3 linked regions of the Anolis sagrei genome follow. The protein of the gene in region 3 interacts with the protein of the main gene of each other region in a pairwise test. Links are inferred from orthologs where the notes say so. Each region holds a gene or a part of one and is shown on either strand. Other genes may lie near its edges.

Region 1 (7,239 bases), on a different chromosome or scaffold from region 3:
CTAAGGAGCAGTTACAAACACTGGAAGAGCCCAAGTTTGCCCAGGACTGGTGTAGAAGATGTAGCCTTTGAGCTTGAGATGACTTGATGCAGTAGACTGGCATCAGCTACTAATTTCCTCAGCCTCAAGGGTTACCGTAGTTATACTCAACTTGCCTGCTGTTATTCATTTTTTTTGTAATTGTTGTGCTTTTACTATGGCCTGGATTGTAATGTGTTTCTGTGCTTTATATGGGTTTTTGTTGCAAGCCGCTCCAAGTCCCTTTGGGACAAATGCAAGATACTCCACTTAGGTAGGAAAAAATGAAATGCAAAGATACAGAATGGGGGATACTTGGCTTGACTGCAGTATGTGTGAAAAAGATCTTGGCAGCCATCGTGGACAAGTTAAACATGAACCAGGAATGTCATGTGGCAGCTAAAAAAGCCAATGAGATTTTGGCCTGCATAAATAGGAACAAAGTGTCTAGATCCAGGGGAGTCACGCTACCCCTCTATTCTGCCTTGGTCAGACCACACCTGGAATCACACTGTGTCTAATTCTGGGCACCGTAATTGAAGGGAGATCTCAACAAGCTGGAATGTGGCCAGAGGAGGGCAACTAAAATGATCAAGGGTCTGGACAACAAGCCCTATGAGGAGCGGCTTAAAGAGTTGGGCATGTTTAGCCTGCAGAAGAGAAGGCTGAGAGAAGACATGTATAAACGTGTGAGGGGAGAAAGCTTGTTCCCTCCTCTTGGTCCCACCCCAGTCTCAAGGGAACGAGAGAGGGGACCTTCTACATGATCACTCCCAGTCTCTAGAACTCCCTTCCTAAAGAAGTAAAAACAGCCACCACCCTCCTCTCTTTTAAGAAACTTATAAAAATGCACCTTTGCACTTTAGTGTATAGAGAGGAGGATGACACTTTATTGGATCATTTTATTTTTCAACACAATACTTAATTCTTTGTTGTAAGCTTACTGTTATACCTGTTGTTTTACTGTGTATTATTTGTTACGTTTGCACTCACCTAGAGGCATTGAATGCTTTTTATATGTGTAAACAGGCCTGCATCCCTCTTGGGAGAGAGGGTGATATAGAAATAAAGTATTATTATTGTTGTTGTTGTTTTCTGCTGCCCTGGAGACTAGGATGCGGACCAATGGCTTCCAACTACAATACAGGAGATTCCACCTGAATATTAGGAAGAACGTCCTGACTGTGAAAGCTGTTCAGCAGTGGAACTCTCTGCCTCAGAGTGTGGTGGAGGCTCCTTCTTTGGAGACTTTTAAACAGAGGCTGGACGGCCATCTGTTGGGGGGTGCTTTGAAAGTGAAAGGGGTGCTTTGAAAGTATTATTATTATTGCTGCCCCTGGTGTTGCCTTACCTGTCAGAGCTGTTCAGCAGTGGAACTCTCTGCCCCAGAGTGTGGTGGAGGCTCCTTCTTTGGAGACTTTTAAACAGAGGCTGGACGGCCATCTGTTGAGGGTGCTTTGAAAGCGATTTTCCTGTTTTTTTTGGCAGGGGGATGGACTGGATGGCCCACCATACTATGATATAAATAACACTTATTACTATTATTATTATTATTATTGCTGCCCCAGGCGTTGCCTTTGATATTATTATTATTATTATTGTTATTATTATTATTATTGTTATTGCTGCCCCAGGCGTTGCCTTACCTGTCAGAGATGTTCAGGAGCGAAACTCTCTGCCCCAGAGTGTGACTGTCAGAACTGTTCAGCAGTGGAACTCTCTGCCCCAGAGTGTGGTGGAAGCTCCTTCTTTGGAGACTTTTAAACAGAGGCCGGATGGCCATCTGTTGGGGGTGCTTTGAAACGATTTTCCTGCTTTTTGGCAGGGGGTTGGACTGGATGACCCACGATACTATGATATAAATAACGTTTATTATGATTATTATGCTTGCTGCCCGAGGAGTGGCCTTACCTGCAGGAACTTGGAGCGGTTCTCGAGGAGGAGCTTGTTGTCGGTCTTGACGGCCTGCTGGAACATGTAGTCGCAGAACTGCTCTCGGACGAAGCCCGGGCTGGCGACGAGGACGCACTTGACCACGTCGAAGTTGACGTGGCGCTGGATGGCCTGGGCCACCTGCTCGTAGAAGCGCTCGAGGGCGCGGTCGTGCTGGGCGCAGCTGCCCCTCCGCTTCCGCGGGATGCTGACCTCCACCTTGGCGCGGGGGAGCGTCATGCTGGGCGTGACGAGGCAGACGTGGGCCAGGCCCTCCTGCATGACCACGGCGGCCAGGTCGGCGCCCCAGGCCGGGTCGCAGGCCTGCTCCACGCGCTCCAGCGCCACCGAGTCCCACTGCTTCTTGGCCAGCGTGAACTGGCGGTTGGGCTCCAGCTCGATGGTGTGGTAGGCGCCCATCTTGACGAACTCGTTCTCCTGGATGTTGGTGCCCTTGACGCGCAGCTGGCAGGCCTGCGAGTCGAAGTCGGTGGTCTCCACGCAGAGGGTGAGCGTGGTGCGGACGCGGCTGCTGCCCACGCTGCCCGTCGACGTCTCCGTCTGCACCTTCCGGATGGTGGCCGCCCGGAGGCTGTCGCCCGCCTGGATCAGGTTGTAGGCGTGCCACATGTCCTCGGCCTCCTCCGGCACCAGCGTCACCTGCCCCGCGTTGTCCTTTTCCATGTCCTTCCGCAACAGCTTCATCCTGCAGGCCTCTCTCTCTCTCTGCGGCCTACTCCGGAAAAAGCCGCCCGGCCTCGATTTACAAGTTCCCTTGCTAAGCGGCCTACTCCGGGAAAAGCCGCCTGGCCTCGATTTCCTAGTTGTCACACACTCTCTTTGCTAAGCAGCCATTGCGGCCTAGCACACTCCACGCCGCCTGAGCCAAATTTTCGATAAGGTGTCTTTGCCCGAGTTTGCTTCCTCTTCACCATCTCGGCATATTGCTCGTCTGAGAAGAGGAGAAAAGAGGGAGGAGCTTCCCCTAAGCCACGCCCCCTCGTCAAAGCGTCACAGGCAACCCAGCGCTGAATTTGTCCTCAGCTGGCTCAAATGCCCGGCTGGGGAAAAGGGGGCGGGGCTTGTCATCGGCCACGCCTCCTCAAAAAAAAACCGCGTCAAGGAGAAATCTAGGCAAATACGAGTAGCGTCCGCAACAGCGCATGCGCAATAAGGGGGCCAACCATAAAGAGAGACAGCGAGGCGTGACCGAGACGCCGAACGCAAAGCTGATTGGTTGAGTCGTTGCTGAGTCGGAGCCCCCGGTGGCGCAGTGGGTTAAGCCCTGTGCCGGCAGGACTGAAGACCGACGGGTCGCAGATTCGAATCCGGGGAGAGGCGGATGAGCTCCCTCTATCAGCTCCAGCTCCTCATGCGGGGGCATGAGAGAAGCCTCCCACAAGGATGATTAAAAACATCAATCATCCGGGTGTGGGGCAACGTCCTTGCAGGCGGCCAATTCTCTCACACCAGAAGCGACTTGCAGGTTCTCAAGTCGCTCCTGACAGACAAATAATAATAGCCAGTTGTTGGAGAGGAGGAGGAGGAGAAGGAAAGCGGGAGTTAGAAGTGCTTTCATTTAGTTTTGAGTGACTTTACGTTAATTTGGGTTAGGTTGCTGTGAGTTTTCTGGGCTGTCTGGCCATGTTCCAGAAGCATTCTCTCCTGACGTTTCACCCACATCTATGGCAGGCATCCTCAGGTTTGCATGCTGGTCGCTTCTGTGGCGAGAGAATCAGCCGTCTATGAAGACATTGCCCAGGGGACGCCCGGATGTCTTGCAATCCTGTGAGGAGGCTTCTCTCATGTCCCTCTGTACATCTTAGTTTTCTAAGATCTACAGAGACACTCGCTGGAACACCTCAGCAAACGAGAGTCCAAAAGTGGCAGGCTCAAACCCAGAACCTCAATCAATGGCTGATACCAAATGAGAGACTCCCCCCTGGGCACACAGAGGACTGGGCGACTTGGAAAGCGCTGAACAGACTGCGCTCTGGCACCACGAGATGCAGAGCCAACCTTCAGAAATGGGGCTACAAAGTGGAATCCTCGACATGCGAATGTGGAGAGGAGCAAACCACTGACCACCTGCTGCAATGCAACCTGAGCCCTGCCACTTGCACAATGGAGGACCTTCTTGCAGCAACACCAGAAGCACTCCAAGTGGCCAGCTACTGGTCAAAGGACATTTAATCAACTACCAAACTCAAAAATTTTGTATTTTGTCTGTTTGTTTGCTTTGTTCTGTTAGAAATGTAATATAATTGACTAGGTGGTGATGACTCGATAAATAAAAAAATAAAATCCTCATGTTATGAGGACTGTTGGAAACCTGAGTTATCAGTTTACCCCCCTCGCAAAACACGCATACCCTCTTTCATACTAAAAATAGCTGCCGTGATTATTTGGAAGTTTATTATTGTTGGGTTGTTGTAGGTTTTTTCAGACTATATGGCCATGGTCTAGAGGCATTCTCTCCTGACGTTTCGCCTGCATCTATGGCAAGCATCCTCAAGAGGTAGTGAGGTCTGTTGGAACTATGAAAAAGGGTTTATATATCTGTGGAAAGACCAGGGTGGGACAAAGGACTCTTGTCTGCTGGAGCTGCTATTGTATTATTATTTATTATTGTTGTTGATATTCTGTGTTCTCTCTCATAGATTCGTTTAATTTATAGGAATTCATTTACACCTCAAGTATCTTCCTCCACTTATTTATTTATTTATTTACAACATTTATATGCCACCCTTCTCACCCCGAAGGGGACTCAGAGCGGCTTACAATATATATATATATATATATATATATATATATATATATATACACACACACATACATACACACACACACACACATATACAATATATTATATTATTAGCATAATAATATCAATATCAGTATTATATATTACTATATTGTACTACACCATTATATTGTAATATTATTACTAATATTAAATGTAATATAAATATATATAATTATAATATTGTATTGTTATTATTGTAGTACATTATAATTTTTTCTTGTCGTGTCAGGAGTGACTCCTTGTGTGAGAGAATTGGCCTTCTGCAAGGACGTTGCCCAGGGGACGCCTGGATGATTTGATGTTTTTGTCATCCTTGTGGGAGGCTTCTCTCATTCCCGCATGAGGAGCTGGAGCTGAGAGAGGGAGCTCATCTGCCTCTCCCCGGATTTGAACCTGCGACCTGTTGATCTTCAGTCCTGCCAGCACAAGGGTTTAACCCACTGCACCACCGGAGGCTCCATTATAATATTATAAATATATGTATACACAATATATTATATTATTAGGAAACCACAGGAGACAAGATAGCCCCCTCTCTCTTCACTCTGGCCAGAGCAGCCGTTGGTGGGGGGGGGGGGGGGGGGAGAAGCCTCCCAACTGACAATGTAGGCAGGAGACAATTATCAGGCTTGTTTTTCAGCTCAGATGTTTGGAGACTTAACAGTCAAGAGGCTGTGGAAGGATGCTGGTAGGCCTCTGATGCATGGACATGGTACCACAGTCATCCTACAATATCTAGATATTCATGTTACTGCCTGATAGCTGCCTTAGATTTGGGTTGTTGTAGGTTTTTTTGGGCTATATGGGCATGTTCTAAGGCATTCTCTCCTGACATTTCACCTGCATCTATGGGAAGCATCCTCAGAGGTAGTGAGGTCTGTTGGAACTAGGAAAAAGGGTTTATATATCCGTGGAATGACCAGGGTGGGACAAAGGACTCTTGTCTGCTGGAGCTAGGTGTGAATGTTTCAACTGACCACCTTTATTTATTTATATTTCAAACTTATATGCCGCCACTCCCCTAGGGCTTGGAGCTACTTACAAGAACAAACTAAGATCTAACACAAATTAAATGCTAACCTTGACAAGCATTTGATGGCCTGGTGTGGCTTGTTAGTGCCTGGGGCAATCTATTGTTGAGAGGTGATTAGATGTCCCTGATTGTTTCCTCTCTATTGTTTTGCTGTTGTAATTTTAGAGTTTTTTAATGGTAGCCAGATTTTTTTCATTTTCATGGTTTCCTCCTTTCTGTTGAAATTGTCCACATGCTTGTGAATTTCAATGGCTTCTCTGTGTAGTCTGACATGGTGGTTGTTAGAGTGGTCCAGCATTTCTGTGTTCTCAAATAATATGCTGTGTCCTGGTTGGGTCATCAGGTGCTCTGCTATGGCTGACTTCTCTGGTTGAAGTAGTCTGTACTCCCTTTCATGTTCCTTGATTCATATTTAGGCGCTGCGTTTAGTGGTCCCTATGTAGACTTGTCCACAGCTGCATGGTATAAGGTAGTCTACTGTATACCATGCAGCTGTGGATAAGTCTATAGGGACCACCAAACGCAGCGCCCAAACACGAATCAAGGAACACGAAAGGCACTGCAGACTACTTCAACCAGAGAAGTCAGCCATAGCAGAGCACCTGATGACCCAACCAGGACACAGCATATTATTTGAGAACACAGAAATGCTGGACCACTCTCACAACCACCATATCAGACTACACAGAGAAGCCATTGAAATTCACAAAAAAACCTATAACAACCCAGTGATTCCGGCCATGAAAGCCTTCAACAATACATTGCCTTAGATATTTTTTAATGCAGGCCTGGACAAACTTGGACCACCCAGGTGTTTTGGTCTTCAGCTCCCACAATTCCTAACAGCCCCAGGCCCTTTCCTTTCCCCCCTCAGCCGCTTAAGCCTGAGGCTGTTAAGAATTGCGGGAGTTGAAGTCCAAAACACCTGGGCGGCCCAACTTTGCCCAAGGGATAACTGACAAATGATTCCAGTAGCAGAAAGGGGTTTTTTTTTCCTTCTTCTTGTGGCCAGTGGGGTCTGACTTTGTAGGATAGGTAGAAAAGGCAAAGATTAATCTATGTCTTTTAACTGATTTTATTTTTTTTAACCAAAAGGCTGTTCGAGTGGTTTATGCACAGTCATCTTAATAATTGGAATATGGGCCTAATCCAGGCTTTGAGTTATTTATGATGGTATGTTCCTAGGAAAAGCAGAACTCAGCAGTGGGGAAGAAATCCACTTTTTAAAAGTTTCCAAGCAGGTTCAGAAGTGGGCAGTACACCACCCAAATAGTGGAAAATAGTGGAACATGCAAATGTCCTAGTTAAACATAAACTCCCTTTATGTGGTTGTGCTGGGCATGGCTTTCTGACTCAGCTGGCAAAAGCTGGTGGTGATTCATTGCCCTTTCCCATTGAACAGTTGAGCAATAGTCAGACTTAAATGTTGAATTTGAAGTATACTGAGCCA
Region 2 (7,037 bases), on a different chromosome or scaffold from region 3:
CGAACATTACATTTTTATTTATATGGATTACATGTAATATAAATATATAATATATTATTAGTAGTAATATATTGCATTACATTATAATATTATAAATATAGATAAAGGTAGTCCCCTGACATTAAGTCCAGTCATGTCTGACTCTGGGGTGTGGTGCTCATCTCCATTTCTAAGCCGAAGAGCCAGCGTCGTCCGTAGACATTATAAATATATGTATATACAATATATTATATTATATTATACTATATTATATTGCAATATATTATATTATTAGAATAGCACAGGAGACAAGGTGGAACTGTCCCCTTGGCCATCTTTAGAGACCAGGACATCAAATAATGGGTTCACATTGCAGGGAAAGAGATTTTCCACACTAGGAAAAACTTCCTGACTGAAATTTCTCTGCCCCGGAGTGTAGGAAAGCCTCATTCTTTGGAAGTGGGACTCATATCCTCAGTCTGGTGAAGTCTCGTTCTCTAGAGTTTTTAAAAAACAAGCTGGACGGCCATCTGTTAGGAGTGCTTTGATTGAGTATTCCTGCGTGGCAGAAGACTGGACTGGCTGGCCCTTGGGGTGTCATTTATTCAAGGCTGCACAAAAAAACAAAACAGAAAAAATGAGCAAGTGTTGCTTGAAACAAACAGGTCATAAGCAACACATGCTGAAAATCCCGTTTCCCACCCAATAAGGAAGGATACAGAAGCAATCTACGATTTCCATTCTGATAACCTTTAGTTCCTTTCTATATCCCCAAGCAGGGCACATGCACATGCAAACTCTCATTCCAACCCACAAAGGGAATCATAGAATCCTAGAGTTGAAAGAGACCTCCTGGGCCATCCAGTCCAACCCCATTCTGCCAAGAAGCAGGAAAATTGCATTCAAAGCACCCTGACAGATGGCCATCCAGCCTCCGTTTAAAAGCTTCCAAAGAAGGAGCCTCTACCACACTCCGGGGCAGAGAGTTCCACTGCTGAACGGCTCTCACAATCAGGAAGTTCTTCCTCATGTTCAGATAGAATCTCCTTTCTTGTAGTTTGAAGCCATTGTCCTGCATCCTAGTCTCCAGGGCAGCAGAAATCAAGCTTGCTCCCTCCTCCCTGTGACTTCCTCGTCAGGCTAAACATGCCCAGGTCTTTAACCCACTCCTCATAGGGCTTGTTCTCCAGACCCCTAATCATTTTAGTTGCCCTCCCCTGGACACTTTCCAGCTTGTCAACATCTCCCTTCAATTGTGGTGCCCAAAATTACCCTCTATTTTCAGAATGGAAACTGGAAAGGGCTTTAATCGTTGTGTCAAAAGTGGCACTTTGGCAGGAGTTGTGCATTACCTGGTGGCATGTCATTGAATCATAGGGTTATAGAATCATAGAGTTGGAAGAGACCTCGTGGGACATCCAGTCCAACCCCCTGTCAAGAAGCAGGAATATTGCATTCAAAGCACCCCCGACAGATGGCCATCCAGCCTCTGTTTAAAAGCCTGCAAGGAAGGTGCTTCGACACACTCCGAGGCAGAGAGTTCCACTGCTGAACGGCTCTCACAGTCAGGAAGTTCTTCCTCATAGAGTTGGACGAGACTACATGGGCTGTCTAGTCCAACCCCCTCCTATGCAGGAAAAGTTCAATTAAAATACCCCAACAGATGGTCATCCAGCCTCTGTTTAAAAGCCTCCAAGGAAGGTGCTTCCACCACACTCCAAGGCAGAGAGTTGCCCTGCTGAACGCCTCTCATAGTCAGGAAGTTCTTATATACCCCGACAGATGGTCATCCAGCCTCTGTTTAAAAGCCTCCAAGGAAGGTGCTTCCACCACACTCCAAGGCAGAGAGTTGCCCTGCTGAACGGCTCTCATAGTCAGGAAGTTCTTATATACCCCGACAGATGGTCATCCAGCCTCTGTTTAAAAGCCTGCAAGGAAGGTGCTTTCGACACACTCCGAGGCAGAGAGTGCCACTGCTGAACGGCTCTCATAGTCAGGAAGTTCTTCCTCAAAGAGTTGGACGAGACCACATGGGTCATCTAGTCCTACCCCTTCCTATGCAGGAAAAGCTCAATTAAAATACCCCGACAGATGGTCATCCAGCTTGTGTTTAAAAGCCTCCAAGGAAGGCGCTTCCACCACACTCCGAGGCAGAGAGTTCCACTGCTGAACGGCTCTCATAGTCAGGAAGTTCTTATATACCCCGACAGATGGTCATCCAGCCTCTGTTTAAAAGCCTGCAAGGAAGGTGCTTCCGACACACTCCGAGGCAGAGAGTTCCACTGCTGAATGGCTCTCATAGTCAGGAAGTTCTTCCTCATAGAGTTGGACGAGACTACATGAGTCATCTAGTCCTCCCCCTCCTATGCAGGAAAAGCTCAATTAAAATACCCAGACAGATGGTCATCCAGCTTCTGTTTAAAAGCCTCCAAGGAAGATGCTTCCGACACACTCCGAGGCAGAGAGTTCCACTGCTGAACAGCTCTTACAGTCAGGAAGTTCTTCCTCATGTTGGTGGAATCTCCTTTCCTGTCATTTGAATCCATGGCTCAATTGTGTCCCAATCTCCAAAGCAGCAGAAAACAAGTCTCTTTATGACATCCTTCCACATATTTATACATGTCTCCTCTCAATCTCTTCTGCAGGCTAAACATACCCAGATTTTTAAGACACTTAAGTGGCTGAGGGGGGAAATGAAAGGGCCTGAGACTGTTAGGGATTGTGGGAGTTGAAGTCCAAAACACCTGGAGGGCCCAAGTTGGCCCAGGCCTCCCCCAAAGCTCCCCCGTCTCCTTACTTGGCGTAGTAGACCCAGCCGTCCTTGGTGGTCCTCTCCTCCCAGCCGGGGGGCAGCTCCTCCTCGCTGTCAGTGTCGTCCAGACCCGCGTACTTCAGCGCCGCCATACCGCTCTCTCCCGTCTCCAAGGCAACCTCTTCTCAAAAGGGCCAAGAAAGGTCCCTGCTCCTAACCCCAAAGCTCCCTTCCCTACTGTCCCACTAAGGCGGAACCTTTCTGCTCCTTAGCGTTGCACACCGAGCCCCTTTTCATGAAGCAACCCTTCCGTTAGGGGTGACCAATCACAGAGCGGGGAGGGCGAAGGGCACGCTGGGAAATGTAGTCTTGGGGCCAAAAAGACACGTGCGCCTGTCCTAGGAAAACAATCGAGCGTGGGATGAGTCAGAAGAGCCAGGCGGTTCTGTTTGGGAATGGGAAGTTTTTCTTTCTATCTCTGAAAAGATTTTAAAAGGGAAGGGGAGAGGATTTACTCTGTTGTGACATTATCTCCTCTACAATAACTATCTGTTGTGGGTTGCTGTGAGTTTTCTGGGCTGTATGTCCCAGAAGCATTCTCTCCTGACGTTTTGCCCACATCTGTGGCAGGCATCCTCAGAGGTTGTGAGGTCTGTTGGAAACTAGGCAAATGAGGTTTATACATCTGTGGAATAATGTCCAGCGTGGGAGAAAGAACTCTTGTCTGTTGGAGGCAAGTGTGGATGTTAAAATTGGCCACCTTGATTAGCATTGAATGACCTTGCAGCTTCAAAGCCTGGCTGCTTCCTGTTGTGGCTTCATTAACTGAAGGGCCCTTCCACACAGCCCAATATCCCAGAATATCAAGGCAAGAAATCCCACAATACCTGCTTTGAACTGAGTTATCTGAGTCCACACTGCCATATATTCCAGTTCAGAGCAGAAAATGTGGGATTTTATTCAGCTGTATGGAAGGGGCTTCAGATAGCCCAGTTCAGAGCAGATATTGTGGGATGTTCTCCCTTGATATTCTTGGTTATATGGCTGTGTGGACGGGCCCTGAGTCCACACTGCTATATAATCCAGTTCGAAGCAGATAATGTGGGGTTTTATAACGTGTGGTAGGGGCCTGAGATAACCCAATTCAGGGCAGATATAAGTCTTTTATGGCCAGAATCACTGGATTGCTGTGAGTTTTTTGGCCTTGTTCCAGCAGCATTCCTTCCTGACGTTTCGCCTGCATCTGTGGTTAATGGCATCTTCAGAGGTCCTGTTGTTGTTGTTCATTCGTTTAGTCGTCTCCGACTCTTCGTGACCTCATGGACCAGCCCACGCCAGAGCTCCCTGTCGGCCGTCACCACCCCCAGCTCTTTCAAGGTCAGTCCAGTCACTTCAAGGATGCCATCCATCCATCTTGTCCTTGGTCGGCCCCTCTTCCTTTTGCCTTCCACTTTCCCCAGCATAATTGTCTTCTCCAGGCTTTGCTGTCTCCTCATGATGTGGCCAAAGTACTTCAACTTTGTCTCTAGTATCCTTCCCTCCAATGAGCAGTCGGGCTTTATTTCCTGGAGGATGGACTGGTTGGATCTTCTCGCAGTCCAAGGCACTCTCAGAACTTTCCTCCAACACCACAGCTCAAAAGCATCTCTCTTCCTTCGCTCAGCCTTCCCTAAGGTCCAGCTCTCACATCCGTAGGTGACTACAGGGAATACCATGGCTTTGACTAGGCGGATCTTTGTTGCCAGTGTGATGTCTCTACTCTTTACTATTTTATCGAGACCGGACATTGCTCTCCTCCCAAGAAGTAAGCGTCTTCTGATTTCCTGGCCTGTTAGCAGTGAAGAAAGTGGAGTGTTTCTATACCTGTGGAATAATCCAGGGTGGGAGAAAGAACTCTTGTCTGTTTAAAGCAAGTATGAATGTTGCAAGATTTGAGTAGTCATGAAGCTGAAGCTGTATCAGTGAGGGTATCTCCATAGAGCAGTGTTTCTCAACCTTCCTAATGCTGCGACCCCTTAATACAGTTCCTCATGTTGTGGTGACCCACAACCATAACATTATTTTCGTTGCCACTTCATAATTGTCATTTTGCTACTGTTATGAATAGTAATGTAAATATCTGATATTTATTTATTTATTTATTTCGGGTACTTTTACCCCGCCCTTCTCAACCCCCGAGGGGGGACCCAGGGCGGGTTACAAAAGGCACAATTTGATGCCTATACAAAAATTATACATAGTGTACAAAACCATAGTTAAAACAATTATCACAGTTAAAACAATCATAACAATCACTATACATCACATCATATAAAAACTATTCACATGCTCAGCGTTCGTCTTTCAGAGTTCCAAATTCCATTCCATTAGTCATTTCCTGGCCATTCTCAAAGCCCTTTCTTTATCTGCACAATTGTCCGAATGCCTGGTTCCAAATCCATGTTTTCAGTATTTTCCTGAAGGAAAGGAGTGATGTCGCTGATCTAATTTCCCCTGGGAGCGAATTCCACAGGTGGGGGGCCACCACCAAGAAGGCCCTGCTCCTCGTCCCCGCCAATCTCACTTGTAATAGAGGCGGGGCCGAGAGCAGAGCCTCCCCAGAAGATCTTAAACTCCGAGGTGGGACATAGAGGGAGATCCGTTCGGACAGGTACGCTGTGCCGGAACCGTATAGGGTTTTGTAGGTCAAAATCAGCGCTTTGAATTGTGCTCTGAACTGGATCGGCTTCCAAAGAAGGAGCCTCCACCACACTCCAGAGCAGAGAGTTCCACTGCTGAACGGCTCTCACAGTCAGGAAGTTCTTCCTCATGTTCAGATGGAATCTCCTTTCTTGTAGTTTGAAGCCATTCTTCTGTGTCCTAGTCTCCAGGGAAGCTGAAAACAAGCTTGTTCCCTCCTCCCTATGATTTCCTCTCACATATTATAACATGTCTCCTCTCAGCCTTCTCTTCTTCAGGCTAAACATGCCCAACGCTTTAACCCGCTCCTCATAGGGCTCCAGACCCTTGATCATTTTAGCAGTCCTCTGGACACATTCCAGCATGTCAATATCTCTCTTCAATTGTGGTGCCTAGAATTGGACACAATATTCCAGGTGTGGTCTAACCAAGGCAGAATAGAGGGGTAGCATGACTTCTCTGCAAATTCAAAGAAAATAGCTGGAAATTTTGCAAGGTGAACATAGGTGTTTTTTATTTGTTTGTTTGTTTTGTCATGTCAGGAGCGACTTGAGAAACTGCAAGTCGCTTTTGGTATGAGAGAATTGGCTGTCTGCAAGGACGTTGCCCAGGGGATGTTTTGATGTTTTTACCATCCTTGTGGGAGGCTTCTCTCATGCCCCCTCATTTTTTATTTGTCGTGTCAGAGCAACCAGTTCATCATATTACATTTCTAACAGAACAAAGCAAACAAACAGACAAAATACGAAACTTGTGAGATTGGTAGTTGGTTAAATGTCCTTTGACCAGTATCTGGCCACTTGGAGTGCTTCTGGTGTTGCTGGAAGAAGGTCCTCCATTGTGCATGTGGCAGGCCTCAGGTTGTATTGCAGCAGGTGGTCTGTGGTTTGCTCCTCTCCACACTCGCATGTCGAGGATTCCACTTTGTAGCCCCATTTCTGAAGGTTGGCTCTGCATCTCGTGGTGCCAGAGCGCAGCCTGTTCAGCGCCTTCCAAGTCGCCCAGTCCTCTGTGTGCCCAGGGGGTAGTCTCTCACTTGGTATCAGCCATTGGTTGAGGTTCTGGGTTTGAGCCTGCCACTTTTGGACTCTCACTTGCTGAGGTGTTCCAGAGAGTGTCTCTGTAGATCTTAGAAAACTATTTCTAGATTTAAGTCGTTGACGTGCTGGCTGATACTCAAACGGGATGAGCTGGAGAGGTCTCTGCATTGGTCCTTTCACTATTGGCTGCTACTTCCCGGCGGATGTCAGGTGGTGCAATACCGGCTAAGCAGTGTAATTTCTCCAGTGGTGTAGAGCACAGACACCCCGTGATAATGCGGCATGTCTCATTAAGAGCCACATCCACTGTTTTAGTGTGGTGAGATGTGTTCCACACTGGGCATGCATACTCAGCAGCAGAGTAGGATAGCACAAGGGCAGATGTCTTCACTGTATCTGGTTGTGATCCCCAGGTTGTGCCAGTCAGCTTTCGTATGATATTGTTTCTGGCACCCACTTTTTGCTTGATGTTCAGTCAGTGCTTCTTGTAGGTAAGAGCATGGTCCAGAGTGACTCCCAGGTATTTGGGTGTGCTGCGACCAGCAGTGTGTGAAGCGACCAGCATGTCCCCTCATGAGAAGCTGGAG
Region 3 (7,698 bases):
TCTTTCTCCATTTCCTAATTCTCCCCTTCACAACACCCATCCCAGATTGCAAGAAATATTAATTGGGGCCGCTGAGTTATGATTTTCAGCCTAGTCCTATCCATTAGCAAAAGAGCATACCCAGTTCCTTATGCAGAATGTTTCCATGCTAACCAAGACCTTCGAAGTTTGCTTCTGTTCGCCATCGAAACGCAAAGGGTGGCCATGAATTGTGAACATATCACATTCTCTCTCTACTAAGATTGACTTGCAAACAGAAATATATAGGGTTGGGCTGTGAGGCAAAACTGCACAGTGCCTACTAAATACCTATGAACAAGACATGACGTTGTACATATTTACTGAGAAGCGGACAAAATTGATTTCAGAGGGACTTGGGCTCTCTGCATAAATGTGCATAAGGCAGCAACCTTAACAATTTAAGACCCTTTCCAAAGCTAGGATGCTCCAACTTAAAGGCTGTTGGGCGTGCAGAAGTATTTGAGCGCTGAAGTTCGGGGGAGTGCTAATCCAATGCTCAAAAAGTAGCTGCTGGAACTCCCTCGGTAACACACACTTATTCAAGGAAGGAATGCCTATTTCGACAAAAAGCCATTTTGATAAACAGGCACGTTCTGGAATTCCTCCCCACACCTCAGGAGTCCTTCAGACTGGCATGCAAATTGTTTGGTGGGGGGAAGAAAATCCTATTGCCTCAGAGGCCCCTGCTACATTTGAATTGTTTGACAGGTTAAGGGAAATCATAATTAAAGAGGGAGAGAGATGGAGACAGACACATGGAATAATAGCCATGCAGCGTGGCAAGCCAAGAAGAAGCAGGAGCCATTGCATTTCAAAAACTCTGGTGAGTTTTTAATTGCCAGGATTGCATTGTGCGCCACCCCAATGCTCCATTGCCTCCATTATGTTCCCTAGCTCTGTGCCATTCATCTCCCCTCATACCCTCCCTACACTTTCAGATACAAACACAACAAAGTGATCGCAACTCCGTAACACCCAGGACTTCACCCTGCCACCTTTTGCCATTCGGAACATGGGACTTTTTGTCTACTTCACGCTAATTGCTGTCATCCTCAAGCAAGGACATTTTGTTTTCAAAACCACACACATGCACACCGCCAGCACTCTCTCCCTCACAAGACCACCACATTTCTGCCATACTTGCTGGGAACTTTGGGTGCAGCTTTGAAGAAAGAGGAGGGTAGGGTAGGGTACAGATTAGGGTAAGGTGGCATTTTTTGCAGCTAGATATGCCATCACATAACTAGCACCCAGTGGCGCAATGGGTTAAACCCTTGTGCTGGCAGGACTAAAGACTGACAGGTCAGAGGTTTGAATCTAGGGAGAGCACGGATGAGCTCCATCTGTCAGCTCCAGCTCCCCATGTGGGAACATGAGAGAAACCTCCCACAAGGATTTTTTTTCATGTCAGGAGCAACTTGAGGAACTGCAAATCCTACAAGGATGGCAAAACATCAAAACATCCGGGCATCCCCTGGGCAACGTCCTTGCAGATGGCCAATTCTCTCACACCAGAAGCGACTTGCAGTTTCTCAAGTTGTTCCACACACACAAAAAAACAAAACAAAAACCTAACACCAGCTCAGAAGAAAGAAATTGGTTCTGCCAAGAATGACAAAAGGCTTCCTCCTCACTTTCCGCCCTCCCCTCCTTGTCACCTCCTCTATTTCTGAAAAGCCATTTGGTTTCGGGCCTAAAAGCTTGTTTCTCTGTTCATTGGCCCACATCTTCTCTATATCCTCCAGCTCTCAGAGGGATAGGAAGTGCAAACATCTCTCTCTGTCTTCCTCATATATATATATATATATATATATATCCATCCCACGCCAAGAACTCAAGTGTGGCTGTTTTCTTTAAAGTCTGTCACCCATAAACTGTTTAATACACCACTTTTCCCCCTCCCATTTTCCTTCCACCTCCCCCCCCCCCCCTCTGCCCCTTTCCAAACTGAATGCGGTGCTGCTGGAAGCCAATTTGATTCTCTCCTCCCCTCCTTTCTTCCAATGCAGCTGTAAGACTCAGAGAGATACTGACATTTTTCCACTCTTATCAGTTTAATTACAGTTACCATGGCAGCAAAGTGCTAGTGGTTGGCAAAGGCCAACAAGAGATTTGCAAGAGTGAGCTCAATTTTGATGCAGTTCACATGCAAAAAAAAGAAAAAAAAAGGGGAGAAAAATTAATACACACACATTCTCACCCACATAGACAGACACAGGAGCAGGACAGAGGAAACACACACTTTAACAACAAAGACCCCTCCTCTTTTGTATCTCTAACACAATTCTGGCTCTTCTCATCACCCCTGCCAGAGCCAGGCAAGGACAGCCTGTGCCTTGGCTTTGTTGTCCTAGTTATTAGTATTAGTAATGCGGCAGGGAGAAGGGGAAAAGAAAGAGATCCATCACAATTCCTAAATCAGATCAGGAGGGGTTGTGTTTGGAGATCCCCGACCCAAGGCGTTTGCAGAAAACACCATCCTGTCCAACAGGACAGTTCAGGACAGGCTTGGATGGATGGCCAAAGGGTAGCTTTGCTTTCCCCCTGTTCCTCCCTCGAAATAGATATATAGAGTATAGACACACACATATAGACACAGGGATGCTAGAGGGAGGGAGAGACGGACAGACAACTCACACACCCGAAGACGCGATGACAACAACCTTACCAAAACTTTTCTCCTTTTTCTGCATGAGGGGATGGCAGGGACTTCCCAGGGAGCTGCTTCGCTTTGAGCCCAGGCAAGGCAATGGGCAAGCAGGCCAGCCTCCCCAGCCCCCTCTTCCTCCCCGTGTGGGTCCAGTGGAAGAGGAGAGTGCTGGACACCGGGGAAGGAAGGAGGCGAAAGAGAGAAGAGAAAGAGGAGGGAGAGAAGGGCTATTGTGCAGAGAGAAGCACTTGGGAAGAAGGCGACGCTTGGGCTGCGAGGAAAAGCCGCGCGCACTCGCTTTCTCTCTCACACACACAGCCACAGACACACACGCAGGACGCCTTTGCCAGCGTGAAGTCCTCTTAGGGAAATCCGTGTGTGTGAGAGAGAGTGATGATAGTGGCGAAAGGAGGACAGATCCCGGTGGCTCCCTGAACTCTCTTCTTTCCCGATCTCGGGGTTTGGAAGGAAGAGCCATGCCACAATAGTAGGAGGAAACATCCCAGCCAGAAAGGAAGGATTGGGGCTGGAGATCAGAGAGAGAGAGAGAGAAGAGAGACGAGTAAAGAGTAGGAAGAGATCTCCATGACAAAAGCCGGGGAGGCTGCTTTCCAAGCTCCGATCTTTCTCCAAATTGATCGCGAATGGAGAGGGCAGGAAGGGCTCAACATTGCGCCCTGTCCACACCGTTTCGAGCCTCTTTATGAAAGAGTTGGGGTTTGGAAAGAAGAGAAAGGGAACCCGGTTCCTATCTAGAGGAGAGGGGGAAAGGGTTGGAAGGAAGGCGAGGAAGGAAAGCAGCTGCTCTCTTTCTCTCTCTCTCTCGCCACGGCGTTGGAGAGGCGCGCTCGCCGCTTCGGGGCAGGAAAAGGCCAGCCTGGGCTCCATTGTTTGACTTTGTTCCAACTAGCCACGCCAAGCGGGCCCTTCCTTCCCCAAAGTCCGAGCCAGGACTCTCCGGTGCCCGGCCAAAACCAGACGAGTCAAAAGCGCACACACACACCTCCCCAAAGTGCTTCCAGCCCAAAGTTGCAGGGCAGCAAGAGGAAAGAGGAAGAAAGGAGGAGAGAGGGGTGGGTATGGTATGGGGGCCAGGAGGGGGAAAGAGAGGAAGCCCCAAGCCCCACATCCTGACCCAGAGCCCTCCCTTCCCGCCTCAGGCTCCCACTGGCCCCAACTTACCTTCTCCACTCGACACGGGCAAAGTCACTTCGGGACCCCTAGATGCCACTTTCGAGGCGCTCTCCTTGGGGAAGGACAGAGATTGCGCGCAGCATGGTCGGAGGGGGAAAGAAGAGAAAGAGAAAAGAGGAGGGAGGGAAGGGAAGGAAGGAAGGAAGGATGGAGAGAGGAGAGGAAGGAAGGGAAGAGAAGAGAGGGAAGGAAGGGGAGAGAGGAAAAGAAGGAGGGAAGGTAAGGGAAGAGAGGAAAGGATGGAAGGAAAGAGAGGAAAGGAAGGAATGGAAGTAAGGAAGGGAAGAGAGGAAGGAAGGAAAGAAAGAAGGAAAGAGAGGAAAGGAAGGAATGGAAGTAAGGAAGGGAAGAGAGGAAAGGAAGGAAGGAAAGAAAGAAAGAAGGAAAGAGAGGAAAGGAAGGAATGGAAGTAAGGAAGGGAAGAGAGGAAAGGAAGGAATGGAAGTAAGAAAGGGAAGAGAGGAAGAAAGGAAGGGAAGAGAGGAAGGAAGGAAGGAGAGGAAAGGAAGGAATGGAAATAAGAAAGGGAAGAGAGGAAGAAAGGAAGGGAAGAGAGGAAGGAAGGGAAGAGGAAGGAAGGAAAGAGAGGAAAGGATAGAAGGGAAGAGAGGAAAGGAAGGAGTTGAGCGGACGCGGAGAGAAGGAGGGGCGCAGAAAGAGGGCGCCTGCTTCTCTTCCCCCCAAAAACTAAAGAAACGGAGCCCCAGCTACAGGTGGCCTTTCTAGGGAAGGGGGACAAGGATGCCTGTGGGTTTAGGCTCAAGCCAAAGGAAGCCTTGGAAATCGGGACCGAGAGAGAGAGAGAAGGAAAGAAGAGAGAGGGAGGAGGGAAGGAGGGAGGAGAGAAAGAACTTACCTAAAGCAGCAGCGTGCTTTGAGCCGAGCTGGAAGAAGTCAGGGGCTGAACCAACTGCAGGACGCAATCCCTTAACCAGCCAGACATAATACAGCAAAGGGGGGGAGAAAGGTCACTCGTGTTCTCGGCGTGGAGTGGGATTTGGAGAAGCAGGAGAGGAGCTGAGGAACTGGCGTCCGGTAGCAGGCTATTTACCTCCTTCCTCTCTCTCTCTCTCTCTCTCTCTCTCACGCACGCACACACAGCCCCCCTCCTCTCTCCCCCAACCCCCTCCTTCCCTCCTTCCCCTCCTCCTCGTCGCCCCCCGCCTCCCTCTCGCAAGCCGCAAAGCCCGCTCGCCACAGCGCAAAGCAGCCCGGAGACAGATTGGGCTTTGTCGCTCACCCCCCCCCCCCCCCCCAGTGAACAGTTTACGAGGCGGCGAGTTCAAGTCGGAGGAAAGCAGCTGCAGGCGCCAGGCACGAGCCACCAAGCTGGGATTGGGGGGGGGGGGAGGGAGGGAGAAGCCCCCCACTCAAATCCCCTTCTCTCTGCAAGAAATCCCTGCCACATTCCCAGGAGACGAGAGGGCCGCTCTCCCTTCCCCCAAAGTTGGGAGCCCAAGAGCTCCTTCGTGGCGCCTGTCACTTTCCTCCCACGTGGAGCCCCCCATTGAAGGCTGGGTTTCCCCCTTTGGGAAGAGAGGCCCTTGGGCTTCCTAGGAAGGGAAGGGTTGGAGATGGGAAAGGGATCCTAAAAGAGAAGCCTTTCTTTGTGTTGTCGAAGGCTCTCATGGCCGGAATCACTAGGTTGCTGCGAGTTTTCCGGGCTGTATGGCTAGGTTCCAGAAGCATTCTCTCCTGACGTTTCGCCCACATCTATGGCAGGCATGCTTAGAGGTTGTGAGGTCAGTTGGAAACTAGGTTTATATATCTGTGGAAGGTCCAACTCTTGTCTGTCGAAGGCAAGTGTGAATGTTGCAGTTGGCCTCCTTGATTAGACTACCCAGAGAAGCCATGGAAATCCACACAAGCATGTGGGCAATTGCAACAGAAAGGAGGAAGCCATGAAAATGAACAAAATCTGGCGACCAGTATTTAAAAAACCCACCAGAATCAAAATAGTAAATAAAGAACAACACTCTGAAAACAGGGGACTTCCAGACAGGAAACAATGAGGGCCATCTAACACCCAGGAAGGAATCAGCCAGGCCTTGAAGCTGCAAGGCTTTTTGGTGTTAATCAAGGCATTCACACTTGCCTCTCACATATATACCAAACCATACGAAAATGATCTTAAATAATATAAAGGCTTGAAGCTGCAAGGCTTTGCAATGCTAATCAAGGTGGCCAATTGCAACATTCACACTTGCCTCCAACAGACAAGAGTTCTTTCTCCCACCCTGGACCTTCCACAGATATATAAACCTCCCTTGTTTACCTCCCAACAAATGATTCTCCCAGGCAGTAAGAAGCCAGACCTTGAAACTGCTAGGCCATTCAATGCTAATCAAGGTGGCCAGTTGCAGCATCCACACCTACCTCAAATGGACAAGAGTTCTATCTCCCACCCTGGACATTTCACAAATATATAAACTCCATTTTCCTAGTTTCTAATAGGCCTCACAACCTCTGAGGATGCCTGCCCTAGATGCAGGCAAAATGTCAGGAGAGAATGCTTCTGGAACATGGCCACACAGCCTGGAAAACTCACAGCAACCCTGAAGCCTTTCCTCACTCCCCCATCCCTTAAAACTTAGAAATCCAGACTTGGAAGAGGCACAAGGGCCACCCAGTTCAACCCTTCCCTCTTTCAGGGAAATACAACCAAAGCATTCCTGACAGATGGCCCTCCACGCCTCTGCTGAAAAACCTCCACAGAAGGGGACTCCAACACACTAAAGCACCACATTCCACTGTTGAACAACAGCTCTTCCTGCCAGGAAGTTCTTCCTAATGTTTAGGTGGGATCTCTCTTCTCTACAATGTGAATCCATTGCTCTGTTTCCTAGTCTCTGGAGCAGCAGAAAACCACCTTGGCTTCTTCTTATACATCCTTTCAAAGGACCTTTTGGGGACTAGTTCAGGAATTGCAACAGGGAGGTTTTGAAGAAGGGGTAGAACAGGTTTGGGCCAACTTGGGGACCTCTAGGTGTTTTGGACTTCAACTCCCACCATTCCTAACAGCCTCAGACCCCTTCCTTTTCCCCCTCAGCCGCTTAAGCGGCTGAGGGGGAAAAGGAAGGGGCCTGAGGCTGTTAGGAATGGTGGGAGTTGAAGTCCAAAACATCTAGAGGTCCCCAAGTTGGCCCAGGCCTGCTCTAGACATCCACCAAGGCTGGATGCTCTCAACCTGAGCTAAGTTTCAGGCCCGGGATTGAAAGCATACACATTTCAGTGCAGTGCTGGATGCTGCTCCCTCTCACAAAATATTAAGAGATGGGGCTTCCTATCCCCCCCCTTCCCGACCCCACGTAGAGCCTCCTTCTGGTGTAAATAACCCCCCACCTCCCCCCAGGCGCCTTCCCTTTTGAAAAGAGTCAACCCTACAGCTGGGAGAGGGGAAAAAAGGGGGGAAGAAACCGATTAAGAATTTGCCAGCGCCTTTTGCCAGACTTCAAAGCGACCCTCGCTTGCCTGCCATTAAGAGCCTCACACCAAGATTGCCACAAAGGTTTTTTTCCCCCTCCTTAAAGATGTCAGAATCCCCCATCCCTTAAAGAGAAAATGAATGACACCCATTATGAGAAAAGGTGCTTTGCAAAGCTTTTGAAGCCTAGGAGGGGTTTGTCATCAGCCTGGCTCTTCCTAAGGCCAGATAATGCACCAACCCTAATAAATAATAATAATAATAATAATAATAATAATAATAATAATAATATACATCACACAGTTCTAGACACTTGGAAAGTGTCTGAGGTGTGATCCAATACAACAGCCAGCAGAGTGATCTTGTCTGCTGTGGACTCATCTTGATGTGTTTCAAATAACAACAACAA

Evidence for each region.
Region 1: the proteins of LMO3 (region 3) and PELO interact in binary tests that used the Homo sapiens proteins (3 or more experiments, as listed by UniProt). The link is inferred for Anolis sagrei from reciprocal best matches to the Homo sapiens genes LMO3 and PELO.
Region 2: the proteins of LMO3 (region 3) and WWOX interact in binary tests that used the Homo sapiens proteins (3 or more experiments, as listed by UniProt). The link is inferred for Anolis sagrei from reciprocal best matches to the Homo sapiens genes LMO3 and WWOX.

What each region holds. Positions count from the first base shown.
Region 1 is NC_090022.1:273,861,657-273,868,895, forward strand, and holds the start of PELO (protein pelota homolog), read right to left. Parts: upstream 3,014-7,239; 5' UTR 2,656-3,013; coding exon 1,930-2,655; intron 1-1,929. UniProt on the Homo sapiens protein: Component of the Pelota-HBS1L complex, a complex that recognizes stalled ribosomes and triggers the No-Go Decay (NGD) pathway.
Region 2 is NC_090028.1:14,082,707-14,089,743, forward strand, and holds the start of WWOX (WW domain-containing oxidoreductase), read right to left. Parts: upstream 3,014-7,037; 5' UTR 2,884-3,013; coding exon 2,777-2,883; intron 1-2,776. UniProt on the Homo sapiens protein: Putative oxidoreductase. Acts as a tumor suppressor and plays a role in apoptosis. Required for normal bone development. May function synergistically with p53/TP53 to control genotoxic stress-induced cell death.
Region 3 is NC_090025.1:182,068,069-182,075,766, forward strand, and holds the start of LMO3 (LIM domain only protein 3), read right to left. Parts: upstream 3,048-7,698; 5' UTR 2,715-3,047; coding exon 2,690-2,714; intron 1-2,689.